Linked DNA regions of Caenorhabditis elegans. The protein of the gene in region 1 interacts with the protein of each later gene in a pairwise test. Each region holds a gene or a part of one and is shown on either strand. Other genes may lie near its edges.

Region 1 (6,372 bases):
AAGCAGTTTGAAATTTTGGTGGTTTTTGGGACGCGGCGCGGTCGCGTCGCGGTCCAGACTAAAAAGTCGCTAGATAAAAAGTTTTCCACGTTTTTAGAGGATGTCTGTTCGAATAATTTAAGTTTCAAGCTATTTTGCATCACTTTGACACCTGCAATGCTATGATTTGAGGCAATATAAAACTTAAATTTTTGAAAGCGGCGCGGTCGCGTCGCGGTCGAAAATCGAAAACTCATCTTACCTATAGTTTTAAACTTTTTTATGCATGTTTTCGAATTTTTCTAAAAATTTCCATCCATTTAACACCCATATTGGCATGTATTAAACAATTTTTAAATTTTAGTAGTTTTGGACCGCGATGCGACCGCGCCGCGGGGCTCAAATTTCAAAGTGAACCGATTCTAGTCGATATGGGGCTTAAAATTTCAGAAATTGAATGAATAATTCAAATTTTTACACTAAAAGTTCAGGTTTCAACACGATTTTTTAAATTTTTCAAAAATAAAATTTTAAAAAATTGATATTTTATTCTAATTTTGAATATACAACGTAACAATTGTTTTAGGTGATAAATGAACTTGATAATGATCAGTAGACTTCATAGTATCCTTAATTGATAAACTATATGGTGCCAAAGGATTTTTATTATGGAGCACCACGACTTTTGAGCCATCCGGATTCAAAAATGCACTTCGTTCAATTTCTGGGTTTGGCATGTTCAGTGAATGGTCGATTCGAACTGCTCCGGGCTTCAGAAAATGACTGAAAATTGGAAAATGTGTTGGGAAATTGACGGAGAAAAATTTTTTAAAAAAATTTTTGGAATTTTTTTTTTTCGAAATTTTTTTTCCCTAAAATTTTTTTTTTCGAGTTTCTTTTCCATTTCCCATTATTTTTTAACATACGTTTTCCCTGATATTTCAGCTCAAAATTCGGAAAACCGCGTCAAATTCGATGTTTTGGGGGTACTGTAGTCGGTGTTTGCGTATTTTTGGAGCTACAGTAACCCACTAAAATTCAGAATTGAGCTAGAAACTTCTAGTTTTTGAGTTTTAAGCTGAAATTTGACGAGGAATTTGAATTTCTCTATGAAAACTAAAATAAAATGAGATTTAAGCTAATTTTCGGACATTTTCAGACAATTTTCAGCTATAAATTGGAATTTTCAAAATATCTCCCATAAAATTTCAAATTTCAGATTTTCTAGACCCAATTTTAACGGAAAATTCAAATATTTCAGTAATTTTTCGCAAAAACCTATAGAAACCTACCTAAAATGTGCAATTGCATAAAACATGGGCTGCTTGTAGAATTGAGCCAATGCGGGGAACGCAATGACCGGAGCATCCGCGAATCCCGAAACCCAGGACGGTCCACCTTGAGCATCTAGCACCAGGTTACGCTCCGTCCATCCGGTAACCCAATTATTGAAATCCTGTGAGATAAAAATCGATAATTTATTGCTTATTTTATAAAACTAACATCTAAAATGTCCGAAACATAGTCTTCTGCTCGATCGAAGCTACCATAATCCACATCCTTCGATTTAGACCCCTCGCTTGCCTGAAAAATCAATAAATTGGTATCACTTGGAAATTCGTTCCGCAAAAACTTTTGCTCTATTTTATCATACAAAAAAGTCGTGGTGAGACCCAAAACCCACCTCTGTACCAAAAATGAACACATCTGGGTGGTTATTGTGGGTTTGTGTAAGATGTTTGTCACTTTCGTCGTCCTGGTAAGAGTGTACGGCGATTCCGGAGACGTAACTTGCTGCGTCCTTGTCATTGAGAACCTGGAAAATTTAAATTTTGAAACTTTTTCGATGATTTCATTGTCAAATTCGAATTCCCCATAATTTATTTAGTCTAGCCACAAATTTTCAGTTCAAAATTCGCTCGGATTTCGCCAGAAATCAGCCTTTCAGAAAATCTGACCGCGACGCGACCGCAACGCGACCGCAACGCAAGTCCAAAATTTCAAACTGCTCAGAAATAGGTCAATATGGGGTTCAAAACTTTGCAAATTTTACGGAGATTTCAAATTTCAACACTACAACTCACAGTGTCTGCCCATTTTGGCAAGTTTCCACGATTATCGTCCAAAATCAGAATTTTCACATTTTTTCCAGCATTCGAAGATTTCAGCGCTGGTCCAATGTCAAGCTTAATAAAATCTCTTTGAAATTCCGCCGTGAATCCCATTGATTGCATTTTAGTCTTCTTATCACTTCCGCTAGTTGGCTCATTTTGAGTTGACAAGCCCCAGAAGAGAATCCCATTTTTCTGATATTCTTCCAAGAAATGTAAGATATAAGTGACGTAGGATTTGTGGTAGGTGTCTTGATTGGTGCCTAGTAGGATACCGTACCCTTTGGTGGAATTCGTGGTTTTTAGCCAGCCTGGAAGCGGAAATAAATAGATTTCAGGGGGGAGTTCGGTAGAGCGCGTTTGCACTAGCTTGTCGGAATGTATGTCATTCGATAGAAAATGTTACGATCTACAAGTTTGTCTCTTGTGCCAACTTCATAGGACCCCGTTGAAAAAAGTTATGCAGAAAGTTCAATGGAGCGCATATGCGTATTTTGAGATTTAGTGAAAGTGCGCTCCACTGAACTTTTGACATAACTTTACTTAGCGGCGTCCTAGAAAATTGGTTCAAGAGGCAAATTTGTAGATCAAGAAATTTTCTATCAAATGGCATAAAAAACTCTGGAAAATTCCGTACCTGGCGCACTCCACGGCACGGCGAAAAACTTCAAATCGTGGTTGTACTTCTGCGCCATTTGCATATACGGAATCTGAAACTTTCAGTCTTTTTTTGTTAATAGGCCTAATAGTACCTTCCACTGATAGTCTTCCCTTTGCAGGCTAAAATGTGCCATATTGTAGTCTTCAAGGTTATCGTCATAAGTGTAGACACGACTTGAAAAGTCATTGCTGGCAATTGGAACCCGTCCGAATTGCAGGTTCAGGCCTGAAATAGCAAAGTTAGGTAAAAAGTTCAATGGAGCGCAGTTGCATTTTTATATAAATTTTAATGTTCTACATATTCGCTTCTTGAACCAACGCTCTATTACTACGTTGAGCAAAGTTATAGCCAAATTTCAATGGAGCGCACTTGCAAAACCTCACAGATTTTATTCAAAATTTATGTCAATCGATAGAAAATGTTATGATCTACTATTTTCCAGTTTGCACCAACTTCGTAGCTTTCCGTTGAACAAAGTTACAAGGAATTGAAAATTGGCAAAAAATTTCGATGGTGCAAACGCGCTCCATTGAACTATTGCTATAACTTTCTTCAAATTGGTCCTAGAATGTTGGTTCAAGAGGGAAAGTTGTAGAGATTTGAATTTTCTATCGAATAACTTACCAGAATCCGAAAAATACTGTCTCAGAATTGTATCAGCCATCTGATCGGGTAAGCTCTTCAAATTCGCACCAGAAGCATCGGAAAACGTTGAGCCAAATCCTTGGATTGTCTGATATGTTTTTGACGAGTCAATTGTGAAGTGCATGCTGGTTACTGTAGTTTTTGAGATTACGGTAAAAATTTTCAAAAAAAAAGTTGCTTACAAGGGTCACTATTTGTCGCATAAACCACATCCCGATGCAGTCGGGCTCCGGATTTGGAAGTTGTGAATGTGGCAGCCTGCCCGGATAGTAAGTTGATATCTGGGATCTCATCGCAATAAGTTATGTTGCAGACACACACAATTCCGGTTTTGAAGGTTTTTTGGGCGCAATCATTGGCGAGTGCCACCTGGAGGGAGGCGAGGGCTGAAAAATTTGAATTTTTCGTTGAAAAATTCGAATTAGTCATGAAATTTTCTGAGTTTTGACACCCATATTGACTATATTTGGACAAAATCGAAGAATTATAGGATTTTGGGGTGCGCTGCGGTCGCGTCGCGGCTCAAATATGGGAATTTTCAAAATGGAGCTAGAGTGGTCTAGTTTTTTGTATTAATATTAAAATTTTGAGTTGAATTGGCTTTCGAATTGAGTGCTGAAAAAATTGTTTAATATTGTTTTCAAAAATTTTTAAAGATAAATTAAAGAAAAGTTTTTTTTTTGGAAAAACGGTATATCGTAACTTTTTTAGGTAATAAAAATCAAGTTCCTGGTGAAATTTGCTGAGTTTTGACACCCATATCGACTATATTCGGATGAAATCCAAGAATTTTAGGATTTTGGGGTGCGTTGCGGTCGTGTCGCGGTTCAAATACTAAAATCTTCAAAATGGACCTAGAGAGGTCTAGTTTTTTGTGTTTAGCTAGAAATGAAGTGGAAAATTAAATTTTTTAGTGGACATTTAAGAAAAAAATAGAAAACATTCTAAATTTTTTTGGAAAATTTTTTTTTTTTAAGTTTATAAAATCAAAAACTCACCAAAAAGCCCTAAAACAAAGCAACTCCAGGCTATAGACATTATGTGTAGACTACTCCTCCTTTCTCATTTTCAACTTAAATACTCGTATACTGATAAGCTAGAAATCAGTTCAATTTGTACTGATGAAGTCATTTTCTTATCAGTAGCCTGTGATTCTAGCCAGCTACTGACTTTTTGGTCACTTTCCACACAAAATCGCACAAAAATGTGTGTGCTTCTTGTGCTTTTCTGTGGCCTGGAAGTCACAAGTGACTAGAAACTGACTGAAAACTCAAGTCAGAAGATGATTTCACATTTGAAAATTTATTTGAAATTAGGAACAATCACATTCGAGCTATTGAGAAGATTTGGAAAATGTGGCAAAAAGTTTTTAAGCAGATCAGAATTTTTTTAGTTTTTTAAAACTGTCTAAAAATGATCTGAATCGCAAAATTTTAGATTTTCACCGTAAAATTCGAATTCCTTGCAAAATTTCAGCCTGAAACTCGAAAACTAGAGCTCTCTAGCTCAATTTTGGAGTTTCCCGGGTTACTGTAGCCCCGGAAGTACGCAAACACCGACTACAGTACCCCCAAACACACGATTTTACGCGATTTTCGAATTTTAAGCTAAAAATTTATGGAGAGACTAATTGAATAGTGGAGAATTCGAATTCGTCAATAAAAAGGTTTTTGTGGTGCGTTGCGGTCGCGTCGCGGCCTTGCAGTGGTCATTTTCAAATTATCGCTAGAAACGTCTAGTTTTCTCGAATACAAACTGAAATTATGCAGTGGTTTCAGATTTTTTATTGAAGTTCCGTGAATTTTATCGAAAATCCAAGAAAAACAACAAATTTATTCAATTTCCGCAAGTGGCGCCGCTTTAACATTATTCTCCTTCATCACAAATTTCAAAATATACAAATGTTCGATGCCGCAACGGCGCTCCATTGACACTGACACCGTCATTTGCTCCGAGTGCTCTTTGAGCAGTGCCGGGATATCGTTCGAGTGAAGTGCGACGAGATAGAAGACACCACGTGGGGACAGAAGCTCGGGGACACGTGGCAAAAGACGATCGAGCGTTGATCTACCGGTTCGGCCGCCAGCGTAGGTCAATTCGATGTTTGATTTGGGCTCTTCGTCAGTAGGGACGTACGGTGGGTTGAAGAGGAGCACGTCTACCTGGAAAATAAAAATTTGGAAAAAAAAGAAAATTTTCGTCGCTAAAACTCAGAAAACCTAAATTTTCATCGGCAAAATCGAAATCCCTGCGAAAAATCAGTGAGAAAATCGAAAACTAGAGGTTTGTAGCTTAAATTTGAAGATTTTCGAGTTTCGAGCCGCGACGCGACCGCAACGCACGTTAAAAAGCCAAAACCCTGGGTTTTTGACCGAATCTAGTCGATATGGGTGTCAAAACTTTGGGAATTTTGTGGAGAGTTCAAAAATTTACATAAAAACACGAGAAATATCACGGAAATTGTGTTACCGGGAGACATTTTCTATAAATTCTGAGATTTCTTTTTTTTATAATTCCATTAGAAATTTGAATTCTCCATTAAATTCTAAATAAGTTGCAAAAAAACTAGACTTTTCTAGCGTTATTTTAAACATTTTCGAGTTTCGAGCCGCGACGCGACCGCAGCGCGTGTCAAAATTACTTGATAATTTCTGAATTTGAATTGTAAATTCGAATTCCTCTTAAAATTTCAGTCAGAAACTCGAGAACTAGAGCTTCCCAGCTCAATTTTTAAATTTTGAGGGTTACTGTAGCGTCAAAAGTACGCAAACACCAGCTACAGTACCCCAAAACACTCGATTTTACGCAATTTTCGGATTTTGGGCTGAAAATTGAGGTTTAGACTAAGAAAATAGCGGTGAATTCGAATTTGATAATGAAAATTCTGATAAAAAATTGTGGACACCAGTTTTCGAGGAATTTTCTTCAAAAGCCTTCGACTTTTATGATTTTTTTTCAACTTTTCAAATTTTTCTC
Region 2 (4,576 bases), on another chromosome or scaffold:
CGGACCAGACACAATTGTATTCCCAGATGGTGCCTACTTCGATCGTACTCCAGAGCCAACCCGGTAAGTTGTCGGTCACATATACTCCAAACCGAGCCCCAATTCCCGTCTCGTTCCGCGTTGTGTTCAATCGTTATAGGCCAGCCGGACTCAACAGGAAAAAGTATCAAATGTTGGATCTCGTGCTCAAGCCGTTCCGTGATCTACAGCTCGACGCAACCGAATTTGCAGCGTTCAAAGCGGTAACGTTTCTGAATCCAGGTCCGGGCGGAATCTCAATAAGAGCCAAACTTTCACTTTGATGCGATTCCAGACGCTGACATCTCTCTACCGGCTCGCAAGCTTGTGAACAACGAACGAGTCCGCATCACCAAGCAGTTATACGGCTACATGGCCATGAAAGACGACGTGGACACGGCAATCGAAAGGTTGGTGAAATCACGTTTTTCCTTCCTTTGATGCATTCATCTATTACTCGCTTGTCGATCAAATCAAACATTGATAGATCACAATTTGATGTGTCTTGTTGCGGACTAGCTAAGTAAGCTAAGTTGGAACACTTTGACCAAAATTTCGGTAAATTCTCTAAATTTTGCTAAATTTTCAAATTTTTGGTAAAATGCTAAAATTTTGGTAAATTCTCAACATTTTGGTAAAATGCTAAAATTTTGGAAAAATTCTCACAATTTTGGGAGGCACCACGGAAACGAGAACATGTGAAAAAGGAGAATTACGAAAAGGAGAACACAAAACCACGCCTATTTATCCGTGCCGAGCGCAAGTTTTTGCATAAACTTGTGCAAATTTTTATTTTCAAACGAGACAACGAAGATCCGAACTAACGAATTCGTGTGATAAACAACACGCGATACGTTCTTTCGGAGCTTCGCGTTATCTCGTTTGAAAATAAAAATTTGCACAAGTTTCTGCAAAAACTTGCGCGCGGCATGGAAAAATGGGCGTGGTTTTGTGTTCTCCTTTTCGTAATTCTCCTTTTTCACATGTTCTCCTTTCGGTGGTGCCTCCAAAAGTTTTGGCAATTTATTAAAAAATTGGCAATTTACCAAAATTTTAAGAATTTACCAAAATTTTGAACATTTCCCAAAATTTAGGCAATTTATCAAAAAATTGGCAATTTATTAAAATTTTGAGAATGTACCAAAAGTTCGGCAATTTACCAAAATTTTTAGCCCCCGGCACTGATAGATCACAATTTCATCCCCGTGTTGCAGATTCGCACGATTGGTTCTGATGGGAACGTCCATGTCAAAAATGGCGTGCGAATCGAAAGAGGCCGTGTGGATTGCAGACTTTTTCGAGAATATCGGCTTCTCGGCGTTTGCCCGGCAACTGTTTTTCGGTGATACGACGAGCGTTGTTGCTCACAAATTGTGAAGTGAATAAATTTAAATTTAATAAATTAATTTCCAGAAATATTTACACGCTTGAAAAAAAATCTCAATGCTAATCCTATTTATATACGTTTATTATTATTTTTTTTTTTTGGTATTTTTTTTGCAATAAAGTTTTAACTTTTTTTTCTTACCGCCTGAATTGGTGCAGCAGCAACAACGGCTTCTCCAAAATCTCCCCACTCATCGTCGTCATCGTCTTCTTCTTTCTGTATTTCCGAATTTTGAAATCCCGTAAATTCGTCCTGTGATAATGCAGTCGTCATCTGAAATTACGGGATTTTTGGGGTAAATTTTTGGCAAAATTAGTTCAATTTTTAGAACATTTTTTGACAAAAAAAATTGATTGCAAATTTTAATTTCAAAATGTTGCATTGCTATTTTAAAGTTGATTGAAGGTTTTTGTTCATAATTCAAAGCAGGGGTCGGGGGCAAACGATTTTTCCGGCAAATCGGCAAACTGACAATTTGTCGAAAATGACATTTTCTGGCAAATCGGCGAAATTGCCGGAATTGAAAATTTCCGGCAAATCGGAACACCGGCAATTTGCCGAAAACGAAAAATTCCGGCAAACCGGCAATTTCCCGAAAACGAAAAATTCCGGCAAACCGGCAATTTCCCGAAAACGAAAAATTCCGGCAAATCGGCAAAACCGGCAATTTTCCACAAATCAAAATTTCCGGCAAACCGGCAATTTACCGAAAATGAAAATTTCCGGCAAACCGGCAATTTGCCAAAAATGAAAATTTCCGGCAAACCGGCAATTTGCCAAAAATCAAAATTTCCGGTAAATCGGCAATTTGCCAAAAATGAAAATTTCCGGCAAACCGGCGATTTGCCAAAAATCAAAATTTCCGGCAAATCCGGATAGGGTTTTCTTCAATTTTTCATTTTGAAACATAATTTCACAATTTTTTTCGGAAATTTTTCCGAAGAAAAAGTTTTTCTACTGTTAAATTATTGATTTTCAGGCCAATTTTAGGATTTTCTTAACTGAAAAATTTCTGTAAAAAATCGAAAATGTCGAAAATGACGTCATTTGCGCGGGAACTTGCACAAAAAAATAATTCAACTCTTTCTACCTATTTTTTTGTTGCAAAACTGAAAAAGTATTTTTAATAAATGTAGGAAAATTCCATAAATTTTTAAACATTTATATTCGGTAATTTGACACTGTTTTATTTCATTTTGGGTACAAAAATGTTTTTTTAAATAGAAAATTGGAGATTTTAAGCTAAAATTAGCCAGTTTTTTAAGAAAATTTTAGAAGTTTTTTTCCCGAAAAATTGGAGATTTTAAGCTAAAATTAGCTAGTTTTATAAGGAAATTTTTGAATTTTTTCGAGAAGTTTCATTACGGAAATCGTTAATTTCAGCATATATATATATATATATTTCTTACCGTATCTCCCTTTTCATTATTATCAGATGCTTCTGGAACAGCTTCATGTCCGGCAGCCATATCCTTCACAGGAGTCACCGACCGACTTCTTGATGCTGATGGAAGCGGTAGGCTCGTCGAGTCGGGCGAATCGTCGACTTCATCGTATTCGTGCTGCTCACTTTTGTCATAGGAATCGTCGACAGCGACGCCGCAGAATGGAGGTGGACCCCCATCGATTTCCATCGATCGGCTGGAAATTTAATCGATTTTGGATGGCAAATTGGTGTGGGAGAGGGATATTGAGAAGAAATTCGAGGCACCACGTTTTCAAAATCTGTTCGCGTCTAGTTTAGGATTTTTTTCGTAGATCTTGAAAATGTAGATCTTGTTTTCGTAGATCTTGTTTTTGAAAAGATCTTGAAAACGTGGTGCCTCATAAATTTCAATAGAAATACAAAAATTGCGTGAAAAATGACTCAAAAACACCGAATTTCATAACGAAACTGTTCAAAAATTGCTCAAAATGTTTTTAATGCCGATTCAAAACTCCGGAAAAAAGTAATTTCACCCAAAAATCCAAAAATTTCGCCATTTTTTCCTTGTTGCCGCGACAAGGAAAAATGGCGAAATTCCAGATTTTAGCAAAAATCGATCGATCGGCTGATGATTTAGAATGGAAAATGGGTGTTTTTTTTTGTTGCAAATCTGGATTTTTATCTTACGTTTTTTTTGTTGATTTAGGCACATTTAAAGCTGATATATTACGGAAACACTAAATTCTGAGAATGCTGCGTATTGCACAACATATTTGACGCGCAAAATATCTCGTAGCGAAAACTACAGCAAGTCTTTAAATGATTACTGTAGAGCTGATGGCGATTATAATTTTACGAGAATCATTTTTAATCGATAAAATATTAAACGAAAACACAAGGAATTATTTGTTAATTTTTGTGTTCTTCAAATATTTCTTAGATTAAAAATGATTCTCGAAAAATTATAATCGCCACCAGCTCTACAGTAGTCATTTAAAGGATTACTGAAGTTTTCGCTACACGATATTTTGCGCGTCAAATATGTTGCGCAGTACGCATTCACAGAATTCAGTGTTTCCGTAATATATCAGTTTTAAATGTGCTTAAATCAACAAAAAATGTAGCATAAAAACAAAAAATTTGCAAAAAAAAACGGCGAAATTGAATAAAAATCAATTTCTCACTGCTATGAGACGGAGAAGTCGAAAAAAAAAATCGAAAATTGGAGATATAAGGCAATTTTTTTCGAAACTAACGATCTGTGTATCTTTTTTCTAAAAAATATTCTCACATTTCGTGCCAAAAATGGTCCCAGAAGGCCTGAAGATACTCGTACTTTTACGCTTTTTTTCTTTTTTTTTTTGGCTAAATTTCTGTTTTAGCAGCCAAAAAATGAGGAATTATAATACAATTTTATGAGAAAATATCAAAATTGTTAAAGGTCACACGATATTTCTAGTGAAAGAAAAAAAAACAATTTCGGCGAAAAAAAAAATTCTTGGAACCGGTTCTTCTAGTGTCCCATAGTGGCCATCAATCTTAATTTTCAACCTACGCAGAAATAAAATTGATTTCATCGTAATTCAGGTGAAAACACGTGGTGTCAAGCTGTCCCATTACGGTTTGATCTACAAAAAATGCGGGGGAATCTTTCTCCCAGAAAAATGTGTGACGTCAGTACGTTCTTAACCATGCAAAATCAGTTGAGAACTCTCCCGCATTTTTTGTAGATCTACGTAGATCAA
Region 3 (4,430 bases), on another chromosome or scaffold:
TAGGAAACAACTACAAAGTTTTAGAGAAATTTCAAAATTTACGAAAAATATACTGTTTCATAATATTGATAAATTTTCAAGCATATCAAACGAGCTGATCAAACACGCTGATTTCGTGGAGGATTTGCAATTCCAGATTTGAAAGCATCACATAAGCGGCTGACATGTCACGGGTATAGCCACGGACATCTCACTGGCATTGTTGGCTCATGACGAATAGGCATAGCAACCGACATCTAGCGGATTTAAGCATCCGACAATTAATGGGTGTAGATGGCTGATATTTATGACATCGAAGAAATGAACAGCTAACCTATACAGCGACTGATCTCTTACAGGTAGGTGTAACCGACATCTCATAGGTACATAAAACCAACATTTAACGGGTAGAGGCAGCCGTCATTCAATGACCATAGCTGCCGACATTTTACAGATTTTTTACTGTTTCAGAATGGTCATTCAAGTTTTATAAATTGAAAAACAAATAATGGATTTATTCGATTTTTTATTAATTTTTAAAAATCTACAAACAAAAATAAAACATGTGTCCAATTATTTTCAGCATGTACAATTTTTGCACTGAAACTGCGAATTCCACTGTTTGCTCCGGATTCCAGTACACTTCAAATGTACCCATTTTTGACATTTTGTGCACAGACAGGTGCCGTTCTTGCTTGCCAGAGTGCAGATTGGGCAGACATGGACCTGAAAGTTAGGACAGTTTCGAAATAAAGAACTAATAAATTTTAATTTTTTTGACACTTTGTTTATTCGGTAATGAAGCAGAATTAATTTGAACTCTTTCATTTTTTCTGTAAATTATATTTTAAGTTTTGCAAGAACCTAGGCAGGTACGTAGGCATCTAAAATATTAAGATTTCAAAAAAAAAAATCAAAATTTCAGAATTCAAAAACTATCAGTTTTGAAATGATAAATATGTGGTAATTTTTGTTTTTTTTGATTGAAGTTTATTGAAACCTTAAAAAAACTGGAAACTTTACTACTTCCGTGAAACATTATTCAATTTTTTTTGAAACACTAACCTGTTTAGTATCCTTTTTCTGATTAATCTCCGGCTCCATATTCTTTGCGATTTTCAGAGGCCTTCCTCTTTTCCTTGGTGGCTGCTTCTGGAGCTTCTTGACTACCTCCCGGCTCCTTTCTGCTGCTCCACATGGTCTTCCACGATTCTTTGGCTCACCTTTCACAGCTTCCTGTTGAATCAGAGCCTTTTCCTCCGAGTTCTGAATTTAAAAAACTCTAGAAATTAAATATTAAAAATTTTAAATTTAAAAATTCTAGAAATTCTAAAATCCTACATTTTTAGTAGTCTAATTTTCCAAATTTAATTAAGTTTTTTTATTGCGAAAAGTTTCAGAATTCCAAAGCATTTTTTTTCAATTTTCAAGAATTGAAGAATTTTTGCAACTTCTAGAAAATTTTTTAATTCAAAAAATTAAGCTAAAAAATTAGGCCTGAAAAAATTCTAAAAATAAAAAATACAAAATATTCTCTGGCAATGAAAGTGTCGAACAATGGTTTTTTTCTGAGAAATCAAATTTTTTTGATAGATTAGGATTTTAAAATATAAATTCAATCCGAAACTCCACTTTTATTTCTTAATTTAATTTAAAAATTTCTAATTTTTTGGTCATGTATCCTTCGAATTGACAATTTCACAAAAGTTGAAAACTTTACTGTTTCAGTGAAACATTATGAAATTTTTTTTAAACACTAACCTGTTTACTTTCCTTTTTCTGATGAAACACCGGCTCAATCTTTTTCGCAATTTTCAGAGGCCGTCCTCTTTTCCTCTGTGGCTGCTTTTGGAGCACTACAGCTACCTCCTGGCTCCATTTCGCTGCTCCAGCTGGTCTTCCACGCTTCTTTGGCTCAAATTTCACAACTACCTTTGGAATCTGCACCTTCTCCTCTGAACTCTGTTTTCTTGGGCGTCCTCTTCCTCTCTTGGCTTCTCCTGCTGGATTCTTTACTGGAACCTTCTTTTGTTTTCTCTGCTTGCTCATTTGAGCCACCACTACAGGATTGAGCAACTCATTAAACTGATTCTTTGATCCTCCAAATATCATCACTCCACAGATGTAGTCCACGTTGTGATGTGGGTTACGGATCAGAGCTTGTACTGCCTGAATTTTAATAAATGCTTGCCTACGTGTCGGCCTGAAGCCTATTTGCTGCCTTTTGATGGAGCTTAAAACCGAGAAATTTTGATTAAATTTGAACAAATTTTCAGCTCAGAACTAGAACAAAAATTCAAAAAGTATTTTAAAGAATTGAGAAAAGTGCTGATTACTTAACTAACCATATCAATTGTGCTCAGGGGATAATCGTCGTCTTCCTCCTCAATTTTGATTTCTTGCTTGACAACCATGTTCTCCTGGTTCTCGATTGCTGATAAGTAGCTCATTTTTCTGAAAATCGATAATTCAGTGGATGAGTAATAGAGAAAATTAAAATAAAATTAACTGAAAATTTATTTGAACAAAAAAAATTAATCTGGGCAGCTGTTTTAGATATTTTTAGGCTACTTTAGTGTTTATAGAACTGATTTCTGCATTATACGAATCGATTAAAAACGTTTGACATTAGAGCTTAAACAGACATTATAAAACAGAAGGAAATTGTGTTACAAAAAAATTTGGGTTAACACTTTTGTAGATATTTTAACTGTCACTAAAAACTGGTAATGAATTAATAAACTCATTTAAAAATGCACGAATTTCTGAGAAATAAGAATGTAACAGAAAAATGTTATTACTAGATTGCTCTCATTTTATCCGCCACTATCAACAAAAACATTAAAAATAATGAAATTGATAATTTTCATGAAACAGTGAAAAATTGGTGACTGATTGGATTACATCTTGAACCTCCACTATAGCAGCTTGGTTCATTTTTGAAATTAAAATTTTTAATGCAAATATGTAGAAAATTAGATAATCAAAACCTTTGCAGTTGAAATTTTTTGATAACCCATAACCAAGATAGATGTAAACTGCCAAAGTTGAACATATTATAGGCTAAAATTTTATCGAATTTCCCTAATAAAAATTGATGAATTCGCTTACTTTTCAAGTGTCATAATAAATTAAGCCTAAACTACTCGGTATTCTTCCGCAGCGTTAGTGCATTAAATTTGATTGTTTTAATGAAACCTATGAAACTGTAAAAAAAAAATTCGATGAACGATGGCTCTACTACCGCCATTATAATTATAAGAATTTAAATAGATTTCATGAAACAGAAAATTTTTGGAGTAAGGAAAATATATTTAGAGACCGTACAAGTAATGTAAAGAGCAAATAAGACAAAAACATCAAAATAGATGGCAGGTCTATAAAAATGATTGTAAGAACAAAAACAGAGGACGCTGTGTTGTTCTATCCTTCGTCTTTGCCAAGAGCAAGTTTTCGTCTGGGAAATCGATATGTCTGGATGAACAGGGACGTCATAGGGTCATTGAAAGGAGGCGATGTATATGTACCAACTTTCGAAAGAGTTGAAAAACCGTTGGAACACCAAGTATGACGTCATAGCCCTGGTACCCAATAAATGATTCAATTTCAATTCAGCATTAAACTTAAGATTTGATTAGACCTGTTTGTTTTTGTTGAATTAATTTTATTAGAAACGTGAAGACGAAAAGACTTCCGGTTTCAGATTTGCTGGCCTGTTTGAGATGAAACGAAATTTCACTGTTTGTGAACTTTAATATTTTTCCCATCTTTTGTTCCAGTTTCATTCCACACCACTTACTGAAAATTTCCGCTCAAAATCATTTCACCCAGATTGAAAAAAAATTGCGCAATTTGCTTCAAACATTGTTGGTTGAAAATAGTTATCACCAAAACGAATGTTTTGAAACAGTGATTTCATAAAATAATTAATTTAGCAATTTTTAAGCGACAATCTAGAAAAAATCTGTTCTATTGTTTTATTATTTCCAATCATTTTAAAATGTTCAGGAGTTAAAAAACCAGATCAAACCAAAAATCAGTTGATCAAATTTTCAATTTCTCTCCAAATTTCCGTACAACAAGACACTTCTAAACTTTTTCCTGATTTTCAGAAAAATTCAGCACTTTCTCTAATTTTCCAGCATTTTGATGTTTAAGTATGTAGATTTTGTTTAGTACTGACAATTAAAGAAATATTGCAATTTGGTTTTACTGTTTCATATTAATAACAAGTATGGGTCTGCTTAAATACTTTATTTAATCAATCCGATGATCTTATTTATAATTTCAATAGATTTATACAATTAATTTGCGAAAAAAATGTAACTGACTGAATTTTTCAACGCAATTTTTTAAAAGCATTCTTCAAAGGCAGTTCCAGAAATTTGTCGGTTTTTCGATTTTTTTATCTGAAATTTTTGGATTCAAGAGTTTTGGAGTTTGTCGGTTAG
Region 4 (2,604 bases), on another chromosome or scaffold:
GGAATGATTTTCAGTCAACTATTTTATTCATTGGCTCGATTGAATCAAGTTTGAGACTGATCTGAATACCTGACCTGATTTTGTATTTTTATAAAAATATTTTTCAGCCAAATTAATAGACAATTTTCACTGACAACATTCGTTCAGTAATTTGAAAATATTTAGCCATTCGAAAATATGCACCTGGGTCGGGATAGCTCAGTCGGTTGTGGTGGCCGTTCGCAACCTGGGAGTCACGAGTGCAAGTCCTAGTTCCCATTTGCGCTGTCGTATATTTGTTATATTTGTAAAAAGAAATTGGACATAGTGGAAAGATAGAAAAGTGTATAAAAGGTTGAAACGGTAGATTTCCTAATACAGAAAAAGCTAAAATTCTACAATTACTGTTGATGACAATTATCTAGCTTCAATCAAAAATTAGCTTTGCTTGGAAATAGTTTTGAGAATGAATTTTATTTCAAAAAAAAAAGCTTAAGAAAAGTACTCCTACGAAGAATATCGCTGCTCAAACAGAAACTCAAAGTAACTACAAATAAAACATGAAATCAATATTTAGTGAAAGTGGTAGTCGATTCCCCACTTGGAGAGATGAAGTGAATTTCGGTTGGGAAAACACGGATCGTGGTAGTTTTTCCGTCATCTTCAGCTGTTAGCATATGCTGCTTCCATGATCTCGAGTCACTGATGAATTTCGCATGCTCTATGTAGGATTTCTTTCCGATTTGGTGACCTTTGTTATCCACTTCTGAAATTTCAAGTTCTTTATTCTCAAAAGATAAAACTCCACAAACCAGTTCTCTCCTGAACCATCGTACCATCCACTAGCCAATTGTCAACTCCAGTTGTCAAGAATCCAGTGTTATAGGCGACACTTTTGAAGATTTCCTTGACTTCATCAGGCTGGAACATCACAACATCAGACTTATCCGCATCCCATCCAGTGTATTTATGTGTCACTTGAAACTTGAAGTGACTTCCAGTCTGATTATCAATTGAAACCTTTGCAGTGCGTCTCGTGAGTTGTGGTGGAGTTGGATCAGTCGACATGATCAGTTTTCAGTCAAGAAACGATCTGAATTATCAGTTGATACGGTAACCATTTTAAACTAAACGAGGAGGTGGAGTTATTGATAAGGAATGCAAGTGATCTTCTCTCTTTGACTATTTTTGTGGTTTGATTGTTTGTGAAATTGATAAAGAACATGAAATTGAACAGTTTGCCTGTTAGTTTCATGTAGCATGAACTATGATCATGAAAATTGATCATAAAGTTGTGCTTTCTTTTGGTACACCTTTGGTTTCTTGACGTCAAAACCGCAGACACGTTGCTTGAAAATGACAAAGAACACAAAGTAATGACAGATAAGCATAGACCAAAGGTTTTATATCAGTATTGAAACATTATCTATTGACAAGTAATGTGCTTAACTCCACCCACTTGAACTGCTTTTTAAAGTCAGTTGGAAATACACGAAATCAATCGAAACTCAAGTGAGTCGATTCTCTTCAACGTTTCAAGAAATGGCAAGCGACGAACCATCAGGTGTGACAGAACAATGGGCCAAAGTGGATATTGAGAACAAAAGTGACCATGTGTTCAAGTTCCAAGTGCTTCATCAGTATACCGGCAATGCATTGGAAGCTTCAAAATGGGTGAAATTGGAGCCAAACCAAAGTGCCCAAATTCTGGAGAAAGTTCACTACAACACTGGACCATTTACAACTGGTACTGATAATTGGAAGGTTCATGGAATCAAACAGATTGAGACAAACTGTAAGTTAACTTATATTTTGATAGTTTTGAAGGAATTAATTTACAGTAGACGATAAGAATGGAGTGGTTGATGGAAAGGTTCGTATTCTCGGTGAAGCTTGGCGTAGTGGACATCCAGATGGGGCTGATTGGAAAAAACACACTTTGAGAGTAGAAGACCATGCCCAAACTACAGTAATCAAGGTTCTCGAGAAAGAAGTTCAATTTGTATCCAAGAGTGGAACATCGACTACTGACTTCTATAGACATGATGTTTAAATTTTCAGTCAATAATTCTTATCAATAGATTTTCTTTAAAAGTTTCAATAAATTTATTGTAATTTATCTAATATAATTTTTCATGCGTACCAATCAAACTTGAATTCTAAACCCTGAGCTCAAAAACAGTCCACTAGAAGTGATTTACACTTTCTGAAGTTTTCTGAGCGGGCCCTATAAAATAAAATACATTTTTGAAGAACATCATATCGAATCAGGAATTCTATTCCTTACCAGAGTGCCTACCGGTGCCTACACCTAATACGTAGTAGAGACATTAACCGTGTGAGACGTTTTACATTATGTACGCAAGTAAGTAATACAAATATGATTTTTAAAAAACGTATTGCGTTTGGAAATATATCGGCCTATTTGTGCTCAGAGACAACTTAATGTATTGAGGCAGATTGTTATGTATTGAGGCAGAACGAGGAGGCGAAGACGAGTAGTTTATTATTACATTAAACTAAGGAATAAATAAGCTAGTTCATAGAGTTCACGTTGTACGATCTTTTTAGCCACGTCGTGGGTCAATACACGTTGATACCCAACAATTTTGGTGTTACTGTAGG

Evidence for each region.
Region 2: the proteins of gba-2 (region 1) and Y45G5AM.9 interact in a two-hybrid assay, tested with the Caenorhabditis elegans proteins (one large-scale study listed by BioGRID).
Region 3: the proteins of gba-2 (region 1) and athp-3 interact in a two-hybrid assay, tested with the Caenorhabditis elegans proteins (one large-scale study listed by BioGRID).
Region 4: the proteins of gba-2 (region 1) and pud-1.2 interact in a two-hybrid assay, tested with the Caenorhabditis elegans proteins (one large-scale study listed by BioGRID).

What each region holds. Positions count from the first base shown.
Region 1 is NC_003280.10:2,181,988-2,188,359, forward strand, and holds gba-2 (Putative glucosylceramidase 2), read right to left. Parts: upstream 4,448-6,372; 5' UTR 4,435-4,447; coding exon 4,395-4,434; intron 3,783-4,394; coding exon 3,579-3,782; intron 3,529-3,578; coding exon 3,376-3,528; intron 2,977-3,375; coding exon 2,843-2,976; intron 2,801-2,842; coding exon 2,728-2,800; intron 2,402-2,727; coding exon 2,064-2,401; intron 1,796-2,063; coding exon 1,664-1,795; intron 1,564-1,663; coding exon 1,483-1,563; intron 1,436-1,482; coding exon 1,272-1,435; intron 763-1,271; coding exon 531-762; 3' UTR 507-530; downstream 1-506. Other genes in the region: mtq-2 (Methyltransferase HEMK2), read right to left, coding at 5,229-5,558. UniProt on the Caenorhabditis elegans protein: Glucosylceramidase that catalyzes the hydrolysis of glucosylceramides into free ceramides and glucose. C.elegans contain specific sphingoid bases, which are unique or different in structure compared to the sphingoid bases found in other animals.
Region 2 is NC_003283.11:4,188,470-4,193,045, forward strand, and holds the start of Y45G5AM.9 (Aftiphilin clathrin-binding box domain-containing protein), read right to left. Parts: upstream 3,047-4,576; 5' UTR 3,040-3,046; coding exon 2,815-3,039; intron 1,679-2,814; coding exon 1,547-1,678; intron 1,540-1,546; exon of another isoform or gene 1,396-1,539; coding exon of another isoform or gene 1,233-1,395; intron 542-1,232; exon of another isoform or gene 429-541; coding exon of another isoform or gene 314-428; intron 262-313; coding exon of another isoform or gene 140-261; intron 64-139; coding exon of another isoform or gene 1-63. Other genes in the region: nhr-114 (Nuclear hormone receptor 114), read left to right, coding at 1-63, 140-261, 314-428, 1,233-1,395.
Region 3 is NC_003282.8:17,045,925-17,050,354, forward strand, and holds athp-3 (Zinc finger PHD-type domain-containing protein), read right to left. Parts: upstream 2,434-4,430; 5' UTR 2,430-2,433; coding exon 2,325-2,429; intron 2,149-2,324; coding exon 1,741-2,148; intron 1,669-1,740; exon of another isoform or gene 1,648-1,668; intron 1,246-1,647; coding exon 1,045-1,245; intron 973-1,044; exon of another isoform or gene 952-972; intron 740-951; exon of another isoform or gene 719-739; intron 706-718; coding exon 559-705; 3' UTR 546-558; downstream 1-545.
Region 4 is NC_003283.11:2,321,493-2,324,096, forward strand, and holds pud-1.2 (Up-regulated in Daf-2 domain-containing protein), read right to left. Parts: upstream 1,075-2,604; 5' UTR 1,048-1,074; coding exon 792-1,047; intron 746-791; coding exon 546-745; downstream 1-545. Other genes in the region: pud-2.2 (Up-regulated in Daf-2 domain-containing protein), read left to right, coding at 1,522-1,774, 1,821-2,032.